3 linked regions of the Cricetulus griseus genome follow. The protein of the gene in region 2 purifies or fractionates together with the protein of the main gene of each other region. This does not show direct contact. Links are inferred from orthologs where the notes say so. Each region holds a gene or a part of one and is shown on either strand. Other genes may lie near its edges.

What was found. The genes of interacting proteins can lie anywhere in the genome.
Region 1: the proteins of Nxf1 (region 2) and Srsf7 purify together in Homo sapiens (affinity purification with western blotting; 3 studies listed by BioGRID and IntAct, with this or other methods). This does not show direct contact. The link is inferred for Cricetulus griseus from reciprocal best matches to the Homo sapiens genes NXF1 and SRSF7.
Region 3: the proteins of Nxf1 (region 2) and NTF2-related export protein 2 purify together in Homo sapiens (co-immunoprecipitation; 5 studies listed by BioGRID and IntAct, counting the BioPlex papers as one, with this or other methods). This does not show direct contact. The link is inferred for Cricetulus griseus from reciprocal best matches to the Homo sapiens genes NXF1 and NXT2.

Annotation. Positions count from the first base shown.
Region 1 is NC_048600.1:3,871,881-3,879,093, reverse strand, and holds the start of Srsf7 (serine/arginine-rich splicing factor 7), read right to left. Parts: upstream 3,984-7,213; 5' UTR 3,853-3,983; coding exon 3,825-3,852; intron 2,681-3,824; coding exon 2,500-2,680; intron 2,213-2,499; coding exon 2,036-2,212; intron 1,159-2,035; coding exon 1,084-1,158; intron 703-1,083; coding exon 592-702; intron 1-591.
Region 2 is NC_048596.1:51,335,257-51,342,739, forward strand, and holds the start of Nxf1 (nuclear RNA export factor 1), read right to left. Parts: upstream 3,828-7,483; 5' UTR 3,673-3,827; coding exon 3,645-3,672; intron 1-3,644. Other genes in the region: Stx5 (syntaxin-5), read right to left, coding at 6,092-6,251.
Region 3 is NC_048604.1:38,304,475-38,311,698, forward strand, and holds the start of NTF2-related export protein 2, read right to left. Parts: upstream 3,984-7,224; coding exon 3,895-3,983; intron 2,942-3,894; coding exon 2,857-2,941; intron 2,004-2,856; coding exon 1,917-2,003; intron 1-1,916. UniProt on the Homo sapiens protein: Regulator of protein export for NES-containing proteins. Also plays a role in mRNA nuclear export.

The sequences.
Region 1 (7,213 bases), on a different chromosome or scaffold from region 2:
TTAAACAGCAATAAAGGCCAGTGGCTTTTATATATAACTGCTTCTTCTAGTACAAATTTTTTATGAAATATATCCAAATGTAAGGTTTAATTACATTTAATCCCAGCACTCAAAAGGAGTCTCAAATTATGTAACCACAAAAATACTTACACAAAAAATCTTACATTTTCTTTACTGAAAGTATGTTTGAGTAGGTGAATGCCATAACCTTCCAGAACTCAAGAGAGCAACTTGTGGGAATTGATTCTCTTCCCTCCACATGGGTTCCAGGCTTGATGGCAAGCTTTGTAGCCAAACATTTCTTCAGCCAGCTAGCATCATGCCTACCCAGGTTATTCACTGGAATAATTTAGTTTTTTAACTCTGTTCTGAGGTGGGGTGTGAACCTCATATGCTTCCCATCTGTCCTCAAATACTGGCCCAAGTAACAGTAGTGTCTCAGTCTAAATGCTAGGACTACAGGAATATCTCACCACACTTAATCTTCACATCTCAAATATTCTGAAGTATCTCATTCAATTAAAGTACTTCACTGTGTCATTAAGACGTGACAATTCATTTACAAGTAAGCAGGAAAAATGTGTTACATACTGGAAATACCTCGATCCTTTTATAGAACCAGACCTAGATCTTCTTAGTGAAGCTGATCTTGATCTACGAAGAGACACAGACCTTGATCTTCGAGGGGATGCTGATCTTGACCTAAAAATTAAGACATTCTAAGTCCATCTTCTTTTCCCAGTTGTTAAAACTTGAATTTTAGCTAGGTGGTGGTGACATATGTTATACGTTATTTTTTCCCCCACAGCACTCAGGAGGCAGAGGCAGGAGGATCTCATAAGGCCAGCCCCATCTCAAAAAATCTACAAACAAGCCAGGCGTTACTGACACACGCCTTTAATCACAGCACTGGGGAGGCAGAGAGGCAGGCAGATCTCTGTGAGTTCGAGGCCAGCCTAGTCTCCAGACTGAGTGCCAGGATAGGCTCCAAAGCTACACAGAGAAACCCTGTCTTGACAAACCAAAAGAAAAAAAAAAAAATCTACAAACAAAAAAACCCTCGAATTTTAAAGTATTTCTCACCTTCTTCCCCGGCTCCTGCTTCGTGAGCGAGAGTATCGCCTTCCCCTGGATCGGGAATGTGATCTAGATCGTGACCTATTTTTCAAGTTAGAAAAATACAAAATATTAGACGATAACTCAGTTTTAGTGTTTGTGTACCTCTGCTGAAATCAAATCTCAAAAACTATTTAAAATTTAGTATCTCATTTGGAAAAACTCTGGGCCTATAAGCTTTTTTTTTTTTTTACTACCTAAAAAAAGATTTGTTAAAAGCTGAATTACAACTTAGAATTACAAAATATAAAACACCATAATGTGTATTTAAAATAAACCTTGCAAGTTTGCAGGTCGACCCTCTTTGGCCCATGGTCTAGTAGTAGGTCTAGTAGATCTAGACGATCTAGAAGTATCTATAGCCGATCGCTGCATCTAGATGTTTTCTTCAATCTAACGACGATCAAACTGACAGCCAAAAGAGCCAGGTGAGGCTTGATTGACGCAAGAAGATTTTTCTAGGTGGGAATGTGGTCAATCTGGTGTTCCTCTTTCTAAAGCGGAGGGGGCCCCAATTGTAAGCCAAATTTACTGTTACGGCGATCACCGACTCAAATTTTCTGCCCTTTAAAGAATAAGGTGAAGCTAGGTGTAGATGACTCGAGGGGATCTGGCCTCTTATGCTGATCACCTCAAGGTCTAGGAGGATCTTAATTGTCGGATTTGCAAGGCGCCTCAGCATGATATCATAAGGCTCGTGACATTCTGAATCAAGGCGACTGACTCAAACGAAGAAACCTGAAAGGTTTTGACCAGGTTGATTATTAATATATTAACATTTTTAATTAAACAAAAATTGTAAAATACACCTGTACAATTAACATTCAAGTTTATAGAAAAACACTAGTTTTCTGCCTTGCTAATAAAAGAATTACTTTGATTAACTAGAATACCAACCATTCCTTTTTTAACTAAATACCTGCTTCTTCTTCGACGGCTATAGCGATGACAGTCATAAGCATAATGTCCCTTTTCACCACACTCATAGCATCTATCATTAGGATCAAAGGGACGTCGGGCAGGTGGCCTATCAAAACGAGATCTCCGAGGCATGCCCGTCGATAATTCAACTCTCACTCGAGAACCACAAATCACCCTGCAACAAGAAAACACTAAAATTAAAATATCCACACGATTTCTAAAAGAAATCTACCAACAAACTACTCATTCCCCCTACAAGGTCTGTTTACAAAGCTATCTTAAAATTATCAGGTGCCTGTAACACCAGCACCAGAGAGGCTGATTCAGGATCGCTCCATACACTAACTGAGCTTTATGGTGAGCTCAGGGTCAGCACCCCCCCCACCCCCGCAACCCGATCAGAGCAATCTATGATTAACAAGACTTCGATCTAGTCCACAGGAATATTTTAAACGCACTCACTTCCCATCCAATCCACGAACTGCATCTTCTGCATCTCTAGGATCTTCAAATTCCACAAAGGCAAACCCTGGAGGGTTTCTGGCGATCCATACAGTCCTTAAGGGCCCATAGTAACTGAATGCCCTTTCTAATTCTCCTTTACCAGCACCGGTGCCCAGGTTACCGACATACACCTTGGTTTCTGTTTCAAAATGCAAACAGAAGAAATGTTATTCCCAAGTGTATCTTAAGTTTGGATTCATTTACAACAGACCACCCTTAAAGCTGCACAAAGTGCATGTTTTTGTTTTGGGGTACTCAAGGAGACTGAGCCAGTAAGTGATCTAGTACGGAGCCACACTCCAAATATTTTATCTACACAACGCTCAGGTGAGTCTCCTGCCTTCGAGCCTCCCTGAGGCAGATGGGACTAAAAGGCGTGCGCCACCATGCCTGGCTCCTTTTATTTGGCGGTCTCCACCAGTGATTAAATGGTAGCCTTAACCCCGTGAAAATAATGAAAGCCCGACTCGTGACCAAGTTCTGGCGTTCTGATAGGATGGAAACCTTGGAAAAACTCTGCAAAGGAGCGTGATAGATTAAAAAGGCGTGGGGTGGGCGAGCCCGGTCCGGTCCCGCCCCGCCCCCACCCGGTCCCGAGCTAGAGCGCGCGGGCTCCCGTGGCCCGGCCCGGCGAGAGTCCACGGGGAAGCAGAGGTGCACCGGTTCCTGCTCACCCAAATCCCTGACTCAGAGCCAGAGCAGCCACGCTAGAAACGGCTTAAAAAAATAAAGAAAAAGGAGAAAGGAGGCCGTCGCCGGTCGCAACGCTCCTTCCTCAATTCAACCCGTGGCCGGGGGCGAGGCGAGGCGAGGCGAGGCGAGGCGAGGCGAGGCGAGGCGCAGCTCGCAGCCGCCCGTTTCGTACGGTCTCCAATCCGACCCCGGACCTCAGCGCCCAGACTTGCCCGTTCCAGTGGCGGGAAAGCGCTGAGGAAAATGCGCCACCGCGGTCGTCAATGTGCTCAAAATGGCAGCCGCGGCCGCCGAGGGCGGGGTGGGGGAGGAGGCGGGCGGCAGTGCGGGTACCGGCGACGCCGCGGCGGACCCGGCCCCCGGCGCTCCAGCCAGGCCCGGGGACCGCAGCGCACACACGCCCTCCGGCCCCGCTCGCTCTCCCTCCCACACCCCGCCCCCGCGGCCTCCGGCTCCAGCTCCGGACGGCGTGCGCCGGGGCCGCCATTACGCACGCGGAATAACCGTCTCCAACCGCCGCGCCGACCCTACGGCCTCCCTCTGCTCGGGCCGCCACCAGCACCAGCCTCCCCCGGGCCCCGGCCGCTCACCTCCTCCATACCGCCCGTAACGTGACATGATGGCAGGCCCGCGTACTCGGCTATAGCTCGCAGTGCTCGCAGCTCGAGTAGCGCGGAAGCGGCTGCGCGTCCTCGCTCGTCGACACTCCCGGCGGCACTTGGAGGAAGAGGCCGGAGTCGCGCTTATATATGCGGCGGGCGGGGATTTTTTTTTTCCCCTTGCGCATGCGTCGTGTCAACGTTCTGCGCGGCACAAAGGAGCTGGGCGGAAACAGCCTAGAGGCGGGGCGGAGGGACCTAAGAGGCTGATCGAATCGCGGGCGGAGGGATACGTTGCCATGGGAACGCGGAGACCTTGCCCATAAACCTGTGGCCTCCCGGGCGGCCTCCTGCTCCCTCCCCTCCCCTTCCCCTTTCCTGAACCCTACCGATCCTCCTTTACCTTCTCCCAACCCTTCCACCTCTTCATCTTAACCTAGGAACTGACAGTCTAGTAACCGTAACTGTAGTGCAGGAGCGTTAGACCGTTCTGTGAAAGCCTGTAAAATCTAACCGCTGATGTCGCTGTCGCCACCTTTCGCTTTGGGGTACCTGGCCTAGTCTTCCACCCGGGGATCTTTGAGGCTCATCAGAGGTAATTAGAGTGACCAGTGTGAAAACGCCCCGCCATTCTGCTCCTGATCACCGCATCCCAGGCACTCAGAAGTGCCTCAGCGGGGCACTTCTCCCAGGGACTCACCGAGTCTGCTCTGAGTCCTTGGGAGTCTGCTGAACAAAGGGATACAGATGGGGGTTCTGGCAATGTTGAAATTTCGGCAAAACTAAAAGTTTGCAAGCATACTGAGCCGCGACAATTCTTAGATTCCTTGCACCTGAAGCACAAAGTTTGTTTTTGTTTTTGTTTTTGTTTTTTTCCTTCTAGTGCTTTGGAGCTTTTAAGGTTGTCTAGTTTTCACTTAAAGCGTTACAGCTCAGCCACTCGATATATGTCAAATAAGTGAAACTCTCATCTCCAGATTGCTTAAATCTGCCTTCGATTTTACATAATGTGTTGGCCAGAAAATAGAGCCGGCTCTGAAACTAGAGTTCAGTTCTTTGTATCAACCACCAAAAAAATACAGACATTACATCATAAATACTTGGAACACTCAAGAGTTGGAAATTTTACACATAAAATTATTTTTATCTTTTTGGTCTCCATTTGGTGTGTATAGATGCAGGTGTAGAGTACAGAGAAATGAGACCTACCTGGTCAAAAAGCATGAGACTCTCTTAAGTGCTACCAATGTATAGATATGTTGGTTTTCAAATATTCCAAATCAAGGTGTCTCAACAAAATGGTGAGAAAATAGAACCTGTATACAGTATATGATATATGTGTTCTGTCTCAGTCTTACTGGTGTGCTCACTTGCTTGCCTGCCATAGGGTCTCCTGAGCATCCCCAGCCCCTGGCTTTTGTTTCATCCGCTTCTCCTGAAAAGCCTTAAACAATTATAAAGACTTTTATACTTTCCAAAGGAACAGTGATTCTATAAACCTTATAAATTTCACTTTTTTGGTTTGTTTGTTTTTCGAGTGGGGTATTGGGATGGGAGGGTAGGTGGGGGGTGGGGGTCTCTGAGTAGCCCTGTCTGTCCTGGAACTCAGAGATCCACCTGCCTTTGACTTCTGAGTGCTGGGATTAAAGGTGTGTGGCCAACACCCTGGCCTCCAGCTTCAATTTAAATAAATCTACTTAAGTCAACAAATATTATAACATTTGCTAATATACGCTATGGAGTAATTCTTATATATCGTGGTTGTTAAATCTTGACAATGTTACTTTTTTTTTTTTTTTTTTTTGGTTTTGAAACAGGGTTTCTCTGTGGCTTTGGAGCCTAGCCTGGAACTAGCTCTTGTAGACCAGGCTGGTCTCGAACTCACATCCGCCTGCCTCTGCCTCCCTAGTGCTGGGATTAAAGGTGTGAGCCACCACCGCCCTGTTTGACAGTGTTACTTTAAAGTTGAATATTGTGATACATATCTTTGATCTCAGCATTAAGGAGGCCAAGACAGGAAAATCAGAAGCCAACCTGGGTTCCATAGTAAAGTATAGGCCGGTCTGATCTGCATAGAAAGACCCTGTCTTTGAATTGAAAGGAGGGTTGGAATATTCAAAAAAAATTTGCATCAATTTTCAAAATTATCTTCATATACTAAATTTAACATTTCCAGAAAAGAATTAAACAGTCAGTTTTGGTGATGGTGTTTATTTATTCCAACTTCCAGTATGCTGAGAAAAAAGTTCTTTTTATCCCCCTTACAGTAGTGGAGATTGCACCTAGTGCCTAAGGCATAAACAGGAGGCAAGGGGAAGTTCCTTTTGAAATCTTACTTCCTTCACTGTTTTAGTTTCATTTTTAAAATCATTGCCACCATTAGGGCAGAAGAACATCCTAAAATAAGAAAAGACAAGCAATTTAAATCTTTTGTACAGCTATCTTTCTTTTTTTAAAAAAACATAAATAATCTAGCTGGGAGGTGGTTTACACCTTTAATCCCAGCACTCAGGAGGCAGAGACAGTCGAATCTCTGAGGTCAGGCTGGTCTACATAGTTCCTGGGCAGTCAAGGCTACACAGAGAAACCCTGTCTCAAAAAACAAATAAACCAGGCATTGGTGGTGCACGCCTTTAATCCCAGCACTCAGGAGGCAGAGGCAAGTGGACCTCTGTGAGTTCGAGACCATCCTGGTCTACAAGAGCTAGTTCCAGGACAGCCTCCAAAGCCACAGAGAAACCCTGTCTTGAAAAACCAAAAAAAAAAAAAAAAAAAAAAAAAAAAAACCAAAACCAAACCAAACCAAAACAAAACAAAACAAAAAGGCTGGAAAGATAGCGTAGAAGTTAAGAGCCCGGGCTACTCCTACTCCTCCTGAGATCCCGAGTTCAATTCCCAGCAACCAGGTGGTGGCTCACAGCCATCTATAATGAGATCTGGTGCCCTCTCCTGGCCTACAGGTATACATAATAAAATAAATAAATATTAAAAACCAAACAAGCAAACAAAAACAATCTATAAGAATGCATTTACGTATTATCTACATACACATGTACATATGAACTGCAGGTTATTCCAAATATCCATGCTCAGCTACATCCTTTTATTCTTTTTCTATATATCACCATCATCTGATCCTCTAGAATGCTTTTGGAAATTCTTGGAAGGAAAAGTTTGTAGAACGTATAATTCTTTCAAATTTTAAAAAATGAACTCCTCCTTCGCGGCATACAGCATACATTTCAAACGGTATGAAGATGCAGAGAGCAGTAATGAGCTCAGAGTGACTTGGCCAAGACACAGGGCGTGGTAGCTCATGCCTGTATTCCCAGCACTGAGCCAGCTGAGTTAGAAGAGTCCTGGGTTTGAGGACAGCCCCA
Region 2 (7,483 bases):
CAGACAATAATAGCAAAAAGAGCATTTTTCATTTGGGTATGGTAGCCCATGCGTATTATACTAATAACTGGGAGGTAGAGGCAGGAGAATCTGGAGTTCAAGATCATTTGCCACTACATACTAATTTAACATCAACCTGAGCTACATGAGATCCTGTCTTAAAACAAAATAAAGTTTAAAGGGTGTGGGGGATGGGAGTCTCTCTCCACAAGTTCATATAAATCTTAGAAATCTGTGGGTTAGAGGCTGGAGAGATGGCTCAATGATTAGGTCCCAGAATTGGTTCCTAGCACCCACATGGCAGCTCCCAACTGTGCTCTGCAATGTGAATGCTGGGAAATCAAAGCTGGTCCTCTGGAAGAGTAGTCAGTGCTCTTAACTCATCTCTTCAGCCCCCTACAGCTTTCTAATAACTTGTTTTTTGATGTTTATGACCTATAAAAAGTTCTTTCCCCTGGCCAGGGCACAGGTGTCTATGTGGAGGTAGCCTTTGTAGTTCTAGGGGACCCAATACCTTCTTCTGGGCTCTGCAAGGACCAGACAGAAAACTAAATCTTTAAAAGAAAAAGTAATGAAAGGTGAAAATATCACAACACATTGTGTATATGTATAAAATTGTCAAAAATCATTAAAGTGAAGGGCTAGAGAGATGGCTCAGAGGTTAAGAGTACCGACTGTTCTTTCAGAGATACTGAATTCAATTCCCAGCAACCATATGGTGGCTTACAACCATCTATAAAGGGATTTGATTCCCTCTTCTAGAATGCAGACAGAACACTATATACATAATAATTTTCTTTTTTTCCAAGACAGGGTTTCTCTGTATTGCTTTGGAGGTTGTCCTGGAACTTGCTCTGTAGACCAGGCTGGCCTCTTAACTCACAAAGATCCACCTGCCTCTGCTTCCCAAAGTGCTGGGACTAAAGGCATGTGCCAGCACTGCTGGGCCTAAATAAATGTTTAAGAAAAAAATTTTGAAAGAAAACAAGTGAACCAGAAACTAGTTCCTACATAAAAAGTAAAACATGGCACCCCTGAAAACCACTTGAAATTTTTGATCTTTTGCCTATACATACAAATGAGGGCCACAGAGCCAGATGTGGGAAACAACTGTAATCTCAGCAAATGGGAAGTGGAGGCCTCAATTACACAAGTTCAAAGCCATCCTGGACTACATGATCCTGTCTCAAAAAATGAAAAAAAAAACTTACAAATATGACCTATTTTAAAACCACATAATAGCCAGATGGTAGTGGCTCACACCTTTAATCCCATCACTCGGGAGGCAGAGGTAAGTGGATTTTCTGTGAGTTAGAAACCAGCCTGGTCTACATAAGCTAGTAACAACCACCACCTCCTTGCTCTCAAACTGTCCTTCTGAATTTGGGCAATGCTCATTTCTGTGAGCAGAAGTGACTGCACCTCAAGGGACTTCTAGATGCAGGATCAGCTGGCAGTTCCACATTAGGGTCCTGGAGTGTTTTCTAATACACATGTGTCCGAAGCAGATCTCTGAGAGTTCAAGGCCAGCCTGGTGTACAAAGTGAGTTCCAGACAGCCAGGGCTATTACACAGAGAAACCCTGTCTCAGGGGAAAGAAAAAAAAACAAAAAACAAACAAACAAAAAAAACAAAAAAAAGGAAAATGAGCTGGACATAGGCAGGCAGATCTCTGTGAGTTTTCAAGGCCAGCCTCATCTTGGTCTATACAGTGAGTTCCAGTCAGAGCTACATATTGAAAAAAAAAAAAGAAAGAAAAAGAAAAAAAAGTAAATAAATGAAACCAAGTGCAGTAAAATACTGTGTTTATGTTTTTTAAAATTTTTTCTTTTTTGGTTTTTCAAGACAGGGCTTCTCTGTGGCTTTGGAGGCTGTCCTGAAACTAGTTCTTGTAGACCAGGCAAGTCTCGAACTCACAGAGATCCCGAGTGCTGGGATTAAAGGCGTGAACCACCAACGCCTGGCCACAGTATACTGTTTTTAAGGCAAGAGGATCAGAGGGGCTCAAGGTCACCCTCCTCTTTGTAGAGTTCAAAGCCAGACGTTGTGTATAGGTTTATATGTATATACATGTAGGCACTAACACAAAAGGAGACTGAGGATCAGCTCAGCTGGTAAAGTGCTTACCTTTATCCTTCACACACACACACACAGACTGAGGTTGAGGCAGGAGAATTTGAAACTTCAAGTCAGACTGGGCAACTTAGTGAGACCATCTCAAAACAACAACAAAAAGGATGAGAATTTAGCTCCATGGGAGGGGATTGCCTGGTGTATGCAAGGCCTAGTGTTCATCTAGCACAAAATAATAAGTCTCGTGGTACGTGCCTACAATACCAAACTTGGGAGACTTGCACTGAAAGACTGACTATGAGGCCAGCCTGGGGTACTAAGACTGGCCCTATAAGGGAGAATTAGTCTTCAACGGGGATGAACTCCCTAAATGGTTATCCAAGGCCAAATGGTTAGCCTTAAAAATAAGTACATGCTAGCTACACTAAATGGACTCAGGTTGTATGAATTTGGGGAGTGGGTAGACATGAAAGTAACTGGAGGGAGATCCTGTTAAAACACGTACATACATACATACATACATACATACACACATACATACATACATACATGTTGTTTGTTTGTTTTTTGTTTTGTTTTATTTTTCCAGGCAAGGTTTCTCTGTGGCTTTGGAGGCTGTCCTGGAACTAGCTCTTGTAGACCAGGCTGGTCTGGAACTCACAGATCCGCCTGCCTCTGCCTCCCGAGTGCTGGGATTAAAAGTGTGCACCACTGCCACCCACCATATAATTATATTTTAGTTAAAATAAAGGTTCACTGGGCTGAGGATTTTTCAGACCCTGGATAAATCAGCACCACACAAACACAAAAAGGTTCATGACTTCCAAAGAAATCTACCTCATATCTATCGTCCTGTAAACAATGACCCTCACCAAGTGACTCTAGTGAAAACACAGTGCAATTAAGGTTCACTGAAAAATCTTCACTTCCAGCCACTTGACAGAAATTATCTCATACACACACACACACACACACACACACACACACACACACACGCACGCACGCACGCACGCACGCAAACTTGGGAAGACAAGATACCCACATGAAAGAGGCGGAAAACAAGGCCTGAAAGTTTAACTCCGTCGGGGTTAGCAAAGCCAACTCCAGATTCAATCACCTGTCATGCCGTCCTAAACACCACTATGAATTAACCCATCAAGGTAATTGTTAGAACTAGGAAACTGGTAAACATTAAGGAGCAAGCTGAAAGACCAACTGATCGCGTTAAAAGAAAAAAAAAAATAGGGCACCAAAGCAGCCCACGAACAAGGTACTACTGACTCACATTTAAAGGACGAGTCGGGCCGCCAAACTCAATTGACAGGCATCAACCACCCTCAAAGTTCAAAGGAATCTTGTCACCCCACCCTGAGCCACAGGTCCTCCAACGCCAGAATCCGGGCGACTCTGGAGCCCCTGTGTCCCGCGGCGCCCCATCCTTGCCCGCGCGGCCACCGCTGCCCACGGACACAGAACTCCTCGCGGCCTCCCGCCCCCGGGCTTGCGGCCTAGGCCGGGGCCGCCCACTCCGGCCCACCGCGCCGCCTCCCGACCCGAGGCCCCGAACTAACCGTTGTATGACTTCCCTTCGTCCGCCATGGCACAGGCAGGTACAGGGGAGGGCTCAGGCGCAGAACCTGACGACACCAAACGCCCAGACGTCTTGGCGCTCAGGACTGAAGCGCTCCTACGACCGGCGCCACCGCATTTATCCGGCGAAGCACGTCGCGCGCCGCCGACGTCCCCAGGATGTGGGCGGTGCCGCGGGGCGAGAACGCGCTCTCTGCGCCTGCGCAGAAGCAGGGCTGCCTCCAGAGGGCGGGGCCAGGCCCTTCGAGGCCCGCCCACGGCCGTAGCTCGGGGCGCAATGGCTTGTTGGCCGTCTCTGCCTTCCTGCTTCTCCACTGTCCCAGTTGTGTCGGGGTTTGCTCTGGAGTTGAGCGGGCTGCTTTAGCCCTGAATTCTTGAGAATCGGGGACCAGAGCCACACAAAATGAAGACCTAGCCTCTGAGTGGGAGTAACGGCTCACAGTCTCCGTCGGTGAGATTCCCGGCAGCTTGTAAGTCGCAGCTCAGCTCCTTGACAGCCGCACGCCTATTCCCTCCCAGCTTTCCTCGCCTCTACGATGGATTGTGACGAAATAGAAAATTGGAATGTAAGCTCCACCGGAGCAGGAACCTTAACTAATGCACAGCTTCTCTTCCTCCAGCCCGCCTGGCTCAGTACCGAGCCAAGTGTGAAACCTGTGTGAATTAAATGAAATCCTGTCTCTTTTAGGCCCTCCACAAATTGTTAGGAAAACAAAAACAACCCCTCCCCACCCCCCAAAAAACCAGCATCAAGTCCCGCATGATGGCGCACACCTTTAATCCCAACATTTGAGTGGCAGAGACAGGTGGATCTCTGAGTTTGAGGCCAGCTTGGTCTACATAGAACTTTCCAGGACAGCCAGGGCTATGTAGAGAGATCTCGCTTCAAAAAATCAAACTGGGCATGGTGGTTTAATTCTTTAGTCCCAGTACTTGGAAGTTCAAGGCCACAATTGTCCATACAGGGAACACCCTGACAGCCAAAGCTACATAGACAGACACTGTCTCAAAACAAAAATAAAATGCACCTGTCAGGGACATAGTGAGCACTGGTCTTTACACTCGAGGTCCTAAACACCATCATCCCTATTAGGTAGACCCAGATCAGCTAGGTGGACAGGGAGTCAATAGTAGTGATTGGATTTTATTTTTGGGAGTGTTTCTCTGTGTAGCCCTGGCTGTCCTGGAACTTGCTCTGCAGACCACATTGGCCTCAAGCTCAGGAGATCCACCTGCTTTTTCCTGCAGAGTGCTGGAATTAAAGGCGTGTGCCAAGAGCTCTTATAGATGACCTTCAGTGTGACTAGGGCTGACCCTATTATGGCCTGAGATTCCTGAACCTGCTGGGGGCGGGGGAGTAAGCAGATGGGACATCCATAGGCATGGAGCAATGACGTCAATACTAATCAGGGCAAAATAGCTTATTAACCTTCCTCCAGAGTCTGTGTTAGGTGGGTTGCCTCCATTTTTTCAGTGGCAGGTTTGGATTTGCTGAGGGTCTTAGAAGGTGCCAAAAGCTGGGTCCAAATTCTCTTCTGCTCCCAGCAACAGAGGTCTTGCTTCACTGAATTCAAGAATCAAAGCCACGTGATTTGCGAATACAGATGGAAAACAGGCCCCAACATAGCTTGAGATGTCCTAGAAGCTGCCACCCAGTTAAGAATCCATTAGGCTCCAGTTCAAAGGAAAACTCTGCTAATGAAGTGCTGTTATACTTGCTCCCTTTCTCGGAGGGAGTTGTAGGTACACAGCTCCAAAGCTACCCTGCTTATCAGTGAGGCCCTTCAGAGCCACCAACTCAACCCTTTTGGTTCTGGTATTGGGCACGATCCCACCCAGAAATGACAACATCACTACTGAGGCTGACAGTCTTGCTGTAATTGGGAGGAAACAGGTTTGCAGCACATTTGGCAGATTGAGTCACCAGTAGCCAAAGTCAGGTTTGTGCAGGCAACTGAAGGGCTCAGAGCCTCCTCACCTCACATGGTGAAGAGAGGAAGGCAGTCAAGTTCTAACCCGATGGTAAAGTTGGTCCCTGGGATAGTTTTGTTTCCTTGCCTCACTCTCAAGGAGGCAAAGAGGGGCATTATCTCCCCTTGCTGCCAAAGTTACCTTTGGGGGAGGCTGGTAAGGTTTTATAAAAATCTCCTACTGGAGACAACCTCCTCCACTGGCCCCTAAGCAGGCTTCTGCTCCCAGCTACTTTCACAGCAGAGTCCAAATCCAGAACCAGTGTTTCAAGGGCCTGAGGGTAGGACAGAGTGGCCAGAGACAAGGGTGGGGAATCGGGACACTGGCCATTCTTAGCAGTTCCAAGGAAATGGCCTTTCTCCCAACCACCCTATACAGGCTCAATGGCAGCCATGGCCACTTGCCCTCCCAGAAGGGTCCCAAACCCTCTGTGGAGTGCCTCAGATTGAAGGAGGGTTCAGGCAAGGAAGACCACAAAGATGATGAAGAAGACAATGAGGATGAGGAAGATTTTGACCATGAGCCACCGATTGGAGGTGACTGACTGGAAGTACTTGAGGATCTCTGAATGGGCGGCCTCAACATCCAGCTGGGCTCCAAGCACATTCTCATCAATCCTAGAAATAACAGTCAGGAGAGAAAACAGGACATTGCATTAAAAGAAACACCTCTGACATCCATTTATGGATATGGAAAGGTGATCACAATGTATAGAAGTAAAAACTTTCATATTATGTGGTCTCTTTCATATACATGTATCAGTGTATACAAGTTTACAAGGTTTTTTGGGGAGGGGGTAGTAGACCGTGTTTGGCTAGTTTGAAAACTTTTGAGCCCCCCACCCCCCAAGTCCATATGAGCATTGAAAATGCTGTATTTTTTTTTTTTTTTTTAAAGACAGGGTTTTTCTGTGGCTTTGGAGGCTGTCCTGGAACTAGCTCTTGTAGACCAGGCTGGTAGTGAATTCACAGAGATCCACCTGCCTGTGCCTCCCAAGTGCTGGGATTAAATTCGTGAGCCACCATGTATTACAGTTTTGTTTTGGGTTTTTTTGGTCATTTTGGGGGGTTTTCCAGACACGGTTTCTCTGTGTAGTCCTGGCTGTCCTGGAACTCACCCTGTAGACCAGGCCTGCCTCTGTGTCCCAAATGCTGGGATAAAATATATGTGCTATTACCACCATCAAACATTGTTATAATGGAGGTAAAGTTCAGACCACTACAGTAAGAAAATTCTGGTTGGGGGATGGGACAACTTTGACAGGAACTCAAAGAATACTACAAGCCTTATATCCAAAGAACATTTATCTCTGGGGAACAAGTCCTCAGAAGAAGGACGGTTTGAAGACTTATTGAGGCAAACAAAACTTTCCCCAGGCAATCTGTGTACAATCCTGAAACCCAAATATTGTGGCTGGGCACACAGCTCAGTAGGAAAAGTGATTGCTTAGCAACCAAAGTGCTTGCTTGGCAAACACAGTACAGTGGGTAGCCAGAGAAAATAGGAAAAAGCTAGGTTTTGTGGCTACCTGAAAAAACCCAAGTTTCAGCTAAGGGAGAGAGACCCTACCTCAAAAGAATAAAGAGTAATAGAGGACATCTGATGCTTTCCTTTGGCCTATGTCATACAAAACACACACAAACACACACACACACACACACACACACACACACACACACACCCTAAAAAGAATTTAAACCCAAATACTGCCCTATGTCACAAGATGTTTCAGATGTCATGCCTACCTATAAAGCATGGCAACCACTAGGAATATACTGCCTACTGACAGTAATTTTACATTTTGTGATGTGTAAAAGCACCTAATGACAATTTTTCAAAGAATAACCTC
Region 3 (7,224 bases), on a different chromosome or scaffold from region 2:
TCTGCCTCCCAAGTGCTGGGATTAAAGGCATGCGCCACCAGCTTAACTGTGTTTTTAATATCGAAACAAAAAAAAGTATCTGTTTTATTTAAGAACACTCAAAAGCTGATGTCCAAGATGGCATGCGTTGTATAGCAATCTACACTTTAATGATCTAACATGGAATAAAGACACATGTTTCAAAAAAACCCATTTTTCATTTCATGCCAGTAAGGCAAACGTGCCTTTGGTAAATTACCATTTTGAAAATATTATTCATATTTTTAGTTTTTCATGCCTAATCAAATGAAAGGCATTTGTTAGTTTGGGCTGAATGACCAAGCTGTGTGATGAACTATCACCTCTCCTTATTCAGGAAGGCTCTCCCGTTTGAATCTAATCTTTATCAATATTCATGGTATTCACAGCTTTTCTCCTCCCAAGGAAACAGAGATAAAACCTCTTCCCTAGTGTGACACTAGGTTTCCTTTCTAAGATCAACATATCTTTAAAATATACATATGTATGCCATCTGAAATGACTACTTCCTTAAATCTCCTCAAATCCAGTATTTCTATCAGATTCCATTTAAATTCTTCAAAAACTTGGGAAAGCCTATTGTCTGCTGGTTAATTCTTGTTATAGTAACTGGGTAGGCTAAGGTTAGTTTTCTAACAACCTTATCCACACCTCTTCAGTTTCAACATGGAATGGTGTGGTAGGTTCTTGTCTAAATTTCTCTGTGTCTGCATATTTTTTTATTTTTATTTACATCTTTCTAAGGCTTGTATCGTATGAATCCATTTTTCATAGTTGGCACAAAAAATACTATGGCTATTGAGGATAAAATGCAAAGTTCCAGACTGATAGTAATTATAATCGGCACTATGCCAATCTCAGTTAAATCATTTATCTTTTCATTTTCTGCTTCTATTTTCAAAGTATCTAAAGAAGCAATATACATGGTCCTAAAGCTCTGTACTATAATGTTTCCCAATTTTAATATTATGTAAATTCTCTCCTTGAGGACTTTCCAGGTATATTACCAAATCCGATGGCTTCTCAGTTTGTCCTCAGCTGGCATGATTACTCTGTCCATGAGGCTGTGCCCCAAATTGGGTGCCAAATGTTAACAAAATCTTAATCATTTGATTTTTATTAATACTCAGGAGCCAGATTCTGGGGTGAAAGCCTGATAGCTCAGAGAGGCAGAGAATACACCCAGCTGACCTTCCTCCTCAGCCAATACCCCAGAAGCCTCCCCTAACTCCTATGCCTTCTCAAACAACATGCCTCAAAAGGAATGTCCCTCCCTTCTATTTCCTGTGTGTCTCTCTATCCATCTTCCTGACTCCCTCTTACTCTACATGTTTTTTTCTTGATAATCCTATGTTTACTTCCTGTCAACTGGTTGGTTGCTCTGCCTCTTGACCTATGGTTGACCTTATTTAATCCTGTTTACAATATGCAAGCAGAAAACAATTGGGTTAAAGGTATATGCTAAGCCTGAGCCACACCACAGCTAGAAACAGGTTTTTCCAATAAATAATGCAATCTTGGGGTTCACAATGTGATCAGATATCCTATGTTATATTTTTATTATTTAAAATAATTTTTAAATTTAAATATATTTTTGATCATATTCTTCCTTTCTCCCAGATTCTTTCCCTAGCTTCTCAAGTAGCAGTTTTCTCAAAAAAAATCAACCAAGCAAAAAAAATAATACAACAAAAAACCCCAATACCAAAAAACCAAAATACCCCAAAAGAAAAATGAAAACAAAATACCAAACTATAAACAAGTATAAACAAACTGTAAACCAGTATAAACAGGTCTTAAAGAATGTGTATACAGCAATTACTTATGTAGGTCAGATAAATGGTATTTAAACAAATGAATGGTATTAAACAAAGAACAAGGGAGACTATAAAACTTACATGTCTTCTTTTGTCCATTGTCTCATAGTAAATATTGACAAATTCCTCAGCAGCTCTACATGCCTGATCCACATGAGTTTTAAAATCCTATGAGCAAATTTTCACAATGGTAAATCATAATCCTGCAAGCTCAAAATAGGCACTATAAAGCTATATGCAAAATCAGCTATCATATAAATTTGAGTATTTTAAAGATCAAGGCATAAATGTTTTCAGCTTTAAAAGCAAACTGTAGCTAGTTTTTAGATCCACGTCTTTAGAACATATTTATCTCCCCTTTTTTCACTCTTCACATATAACTCTGGAATCTTTGCTTGGCAATTAAGTAAAAAAAAATTCAGTATTTTACAAAACATTCACCTACCACAGGAATAGTAACTCGAGAGTGGGTGATGGGTGTGGGTGGAGACAAGGTGTTGGTGGACAGTCACTGAGTAAGTGCTAAGTTTCAACTTATGACCAAGCTTGGAAGTTATTTTCTTTTTTTTAAGTATGACTTGAAAGTCTAAGCAGTCCCACTTAGAAATTTTTCTTACATTATATAAACATTCATGGGCATTTGTAAATGAATTGCAAAAACCAAGAAATGAAAGGCCTCAGAGTTCTCACAAGATCCCCAATTAAATAACTTTGTTTGCCCTTCACTTTTACTGAGAAAGTCCTATTCCTTGAATTAAAAATAATTGCCATTTGTGAGTGATCAGGAGATTCTGATTTTTAAAGCGCCAACAGAAAGGTTGATACTGTAAGCCAAAGATGACTTAGCCTCCATCCTCCTTCCTGCATCTTTTCTAGGAAGAGGAGGGGAGCAAGTCCCGCCCCAGGGGCTGGCGGGCCAGATGCTGATTCGCCAGTTGCTCACATGTCCAAGCTCCTGCCTCCCATCCCTTTTGCTGCACATGTCCTAGTTCCTCAACACTCAATGGTGTCACACACTCACCACAGCCATGGCCATTGGAGAACTTGAAATGGCATGCTCCTTCAGGGCAGGTGTCAGTACCTCCTCACGTGTCTGGCTCTTTTGGCTGCAGAAGGAGGAAATGTTTACAAAGAAAACGAGACCCGCCAAAGACACAGATTTTTAAACCCGCCCATTATATCCTAGTGTTAAAACCCCCTCAAAGTTCCAATTTTAAGTGGCCAATCCTTTCAGTTGCAACTGGTTCCATCCATCTGTTTAAATTACTTCCAAACTGTTTACTTTGCATAAAAGAGAGAAACAAACAAAAAACCAACCAAAAATAAACTAACAAAACAGCACAACACAAATAAAACAACCCCAGCCCAGCTCCCCGCCCTGGTACAAGTTAAAATCAAAAGTTGCAATTACAGGACAGCTTTATCCCATGAGGCGGGCCCAAAGCTTGAGGGCCAATGAGAAACGGAAAAACCTAGGTCAGTAGCCAATAGGAAAAGGGGGCAGGACTTGAGAACCCGCTCAGAAAAACCGCTTGCTGCACGAGGGGTTTAAAAGAATTTAAAATGTAAAGTTCGGGAATATTCTCCATTTTGACCCTCTGCTACTAACGCCTTGTTTGGATAACTAAAAATTTTCCTGTGCTTAACAATCATTTTACTAATTCCCTTCACACCGAAGGGATTAAATGTCAAGCACCACCCCGCCCCCCAAAAAACAAACCCCACCCAAACCAAAACCCAATATTCTGTGGTGTATGGTTTCTACAGCTTATTCAGAACAACCTGACCAGGGACCGTTAGTAGTGACCATAAGCACTTTTCTAAGTAATTTTATCCATTTTCAATTATTTATGGCAACTATGAGTTAAATACTATTTTATCATCACATTATTAAAACAATCAGTGATTAAACCGTGTCTAGATAAGATTTAAGCTCAAGTAATGATAAATGCCATGGCAAACTGGTTTCAGTAGCCCGGCGCCCTTTCTTAAAACAGTTAATCCCAAAGTGGCCACGTCAGACATCTAAAATTTGAATCAAATATTTCTTTGAACTTACTATCTGTAGCTTGTGTGTGGCTCGCGAGAGGAATAGCCAGACCTTCCATAGTGTTTGTCCCCACGGGACCAGTCACTATATTTTTTCATTCTCAGCGAGCGTTCACAAAGGTACCCACAGGAACCGCTTTCTTCTCCAACTGCGCGCCACTCAGCTTCAGTTCCTTCCGGTTTGCCCACTATGATGCTGACTGCCTTGACTCATTACTTCCGGGGCAGCTACTACCACGTGACTCTCTATGGCTCTTTATATGGTAATGAACTACAGTTTTGTAACTTTGGTTCTACCTCTATGGAGCTCAAATTGTACATGTGGAATCTTTCTAATAGTGAAAATGGGAATGTTCTGCCATGTTTCTCAGACTCTCAAGTCCAAAATTTAAACTGATTTTTTTTTCAGTTTATTTCTAATCTATATTTTCTTAGTGATGCATGAATCTGCATTATTTATTGATTGAGTTTTGGTTCTCTTCTTATTGTTCATTCCTTCAACAAATATTTATCATCATTTACTGTGCTCCAGGCATTGTGCAAAGCTCTTGCTACCAAGCAGTGTCAAGAGCGGCAAACAAGTAACTACTGATACATTTTAAAGGAATTCCAAGTAATGAATTCTGAGTAGCTAGTTTCGGCCAATCTCTAAAACATTTTCTACCTTATCTTTCTGTGTCTCTGCCTTTCTAACCCCTCTGCCTTTTTCCTTCTCTCCTCCTTTCTCTTCCCCTCACTTTTACCTCTTCTAAGGTTAGTCAGTGTATCCTCACCCCCACAATTACCCTAATATTTAAAGCCTACTTTGATGTGATTTTATTTTTCCTAGAGTATTCTCTCAAATTTAAAAAAGACTAGTAAGCCACATTTTTCCACAAAATGACTCCTGTTCATTGTTATATCGCTATTGGCTTTTCTTGAATGAGGAAAGGTATTTTTATATGATTTCATTCAATCCTTACAAATCAGACATAGATATTAATATGACCCATATTTTTAAGAATTTGAGATGAAACTCAAAGAGCAAAACAAACAAAAAAATAACCTTTGCTAATATGATGCAGCTCTGGACTGGAGAAGTAGCTCAGTGATTAAGAATACTTGTTCAGAATACTGGGTTCAGTTCCTAGCACCCATGTTAGTCAGCTTGCAACTGTCTGTAATTCTAGTTCCAGGAGATCAGACATCTTCTTCTGACTTTTTTGGCACCTGTGTGTGGTACGTCTTCATACATTCAGGCACACTCACATGCACAGAAATTTTAAGACGAGATGACACAGCTATTGAACCCAGAATTTCAGTCCCAAATTGTCTAATCAACACGTTGTGCTATTTATTCATTTACTTGTATATTACTATGTCTTCTTTCTTTTTGATTTGTTTACTTCTTTTTCTTTTTGATTTGTTTACTCCATTTCTATCTGTCCTTCAGGTATCAGGGCAAGTTTTATCATTTTTGTGAAGTTTCCCTCATTTCATTTTTCTAGAAACATATAGGATGCCACTCTTGGGATTATAGAAGTCGCTATTGGGATGGACAATAGTGCTAAAGGAGTAGAGAAGTGCTGACACTTGGGAAAGGATATTTGAGTTAGAGGAGGAATGGAAACTCAGAGTTTTACACTGATTTTTATTGTACATAATTTTGTGCTATGATGGGAGAATGACTACGCTGAGGTGCCACAAAAGTGTAAGGCTGGGTAAAATGATAACATAGAAATAAATATTGGGCTCTGATTGTTAGACCTTTGAACTGAAAACATTTGAAAAACAAATTGGATGTGTGTTGGGGCGAGGAGGACAATAAAACAACCTGTGGGGGAAAAAGAACAGGTGGGAAATAAGGTTCATCATCTTTACTAGGTAACTGCAATTGTTTAAAATACAGTGAGTGACTAGGAACTGCTTTTTATGTATCAAAATAACTTTGTGATTAAGCACACTATTTTTGCCATCAGTCTGAATTCAGATTCTAACCATGCTGCTGACTAGGTCTCTGACTTTGAAGAAATTACCTAGGCATTATAAAACTTTTGTCTTTCAACCTGTAAAATGGAAATAATATTAGCATATATTTCAAAACATTGCTGGGTTAGACAAAATGGCTTATTGGAAAAGGAGCCTGGCATTAAAACTGATGAACCTCAGTTCAGTCCCCAGTATGCACATGGTGGAAAGAGAGAATGAACTCCTACAAATTATCATCTGACCTCCACATTTGCATCATGGCGTGCATCTACCTCCACTGCCATATGGATAATTATAAATACATGAGTGTATTTTGAAAAGCCCATTATTATGAGAACTAAATGAGTCACTCAGATGCTCTACTGTTCTCTGTCTGAAAAATACATGTCAGAGATTAGACAACCCAGACTGTGATAAGATGAAGTTGGAGGAGATTAGATAATTTGAGAGGTAGGGAGCAGCATCAGTACAGTTCAGCAGAGAGTTGGGAACTGTGGTAAAACAGACTCTTTGAACAATAGATGGGGTTGGTTAGGATTCCTTGCAGTTGTTTTGGAAAACCAGCTCATCTAAAGTGTGGACTTTGGAAAATTAAAGTTCTTGGTAGTTAGCACAACCCTTACTTAAATCTTTCTCTTACTTCAGATTTGAGCAGGAATAGTCTAGAAAATGGGGGAGGGGTCTGAGTAGTCACTTCCTCTTGGGTCTCAAATCGGAAAGCATCCTGTTCATACTGAACAATGTTCTTAAATACTTCAATTTAGATATACTTTATATACAATGTGAGCTATTCATTTCGAGCACACAATTCTGAGAGTTTTTGTATAGTCATAGATTTATTCAAGAATTATTACAAACACGTTTCCCTTTATCAGCTGGTTATTGTCCACCCTTTCAATCCTGTTCCTGGCAAACACTAATATTCTGTGTCTCTCTAGGCATATGCCCATTCTGGACTTTTCATGGAAGTGGAGTTGTACAAATGTTATCATTTGTGTCTGGTATTTTTCACTTAGAATATTTCTGAGGCTCAACCATTTTATAGCTCATGTCAAGACATCATTCCTTTCAATTGCACTATACATACACAATACATTTTTCTACGTATTCATTCATTGATTGTTATTTGGGTAGCTTTCTCATGTTGGCCGTTTTAAACTATACTTCTATAAATATTTGTGTAAATTTTTATATCGGCACATTTCAGATACCAAGTCGTGGAACTGCTGAATTATATGGTAACATACTTAATACGTTAATAAACTACTAGCTTAATTTCCATAGTGCCTATATTTTACATTTGCCTACATTTTACATTTCATCCAAGCATACATGACAGTTTCAATTTTTCTATGTATTCCTCAATACTTTT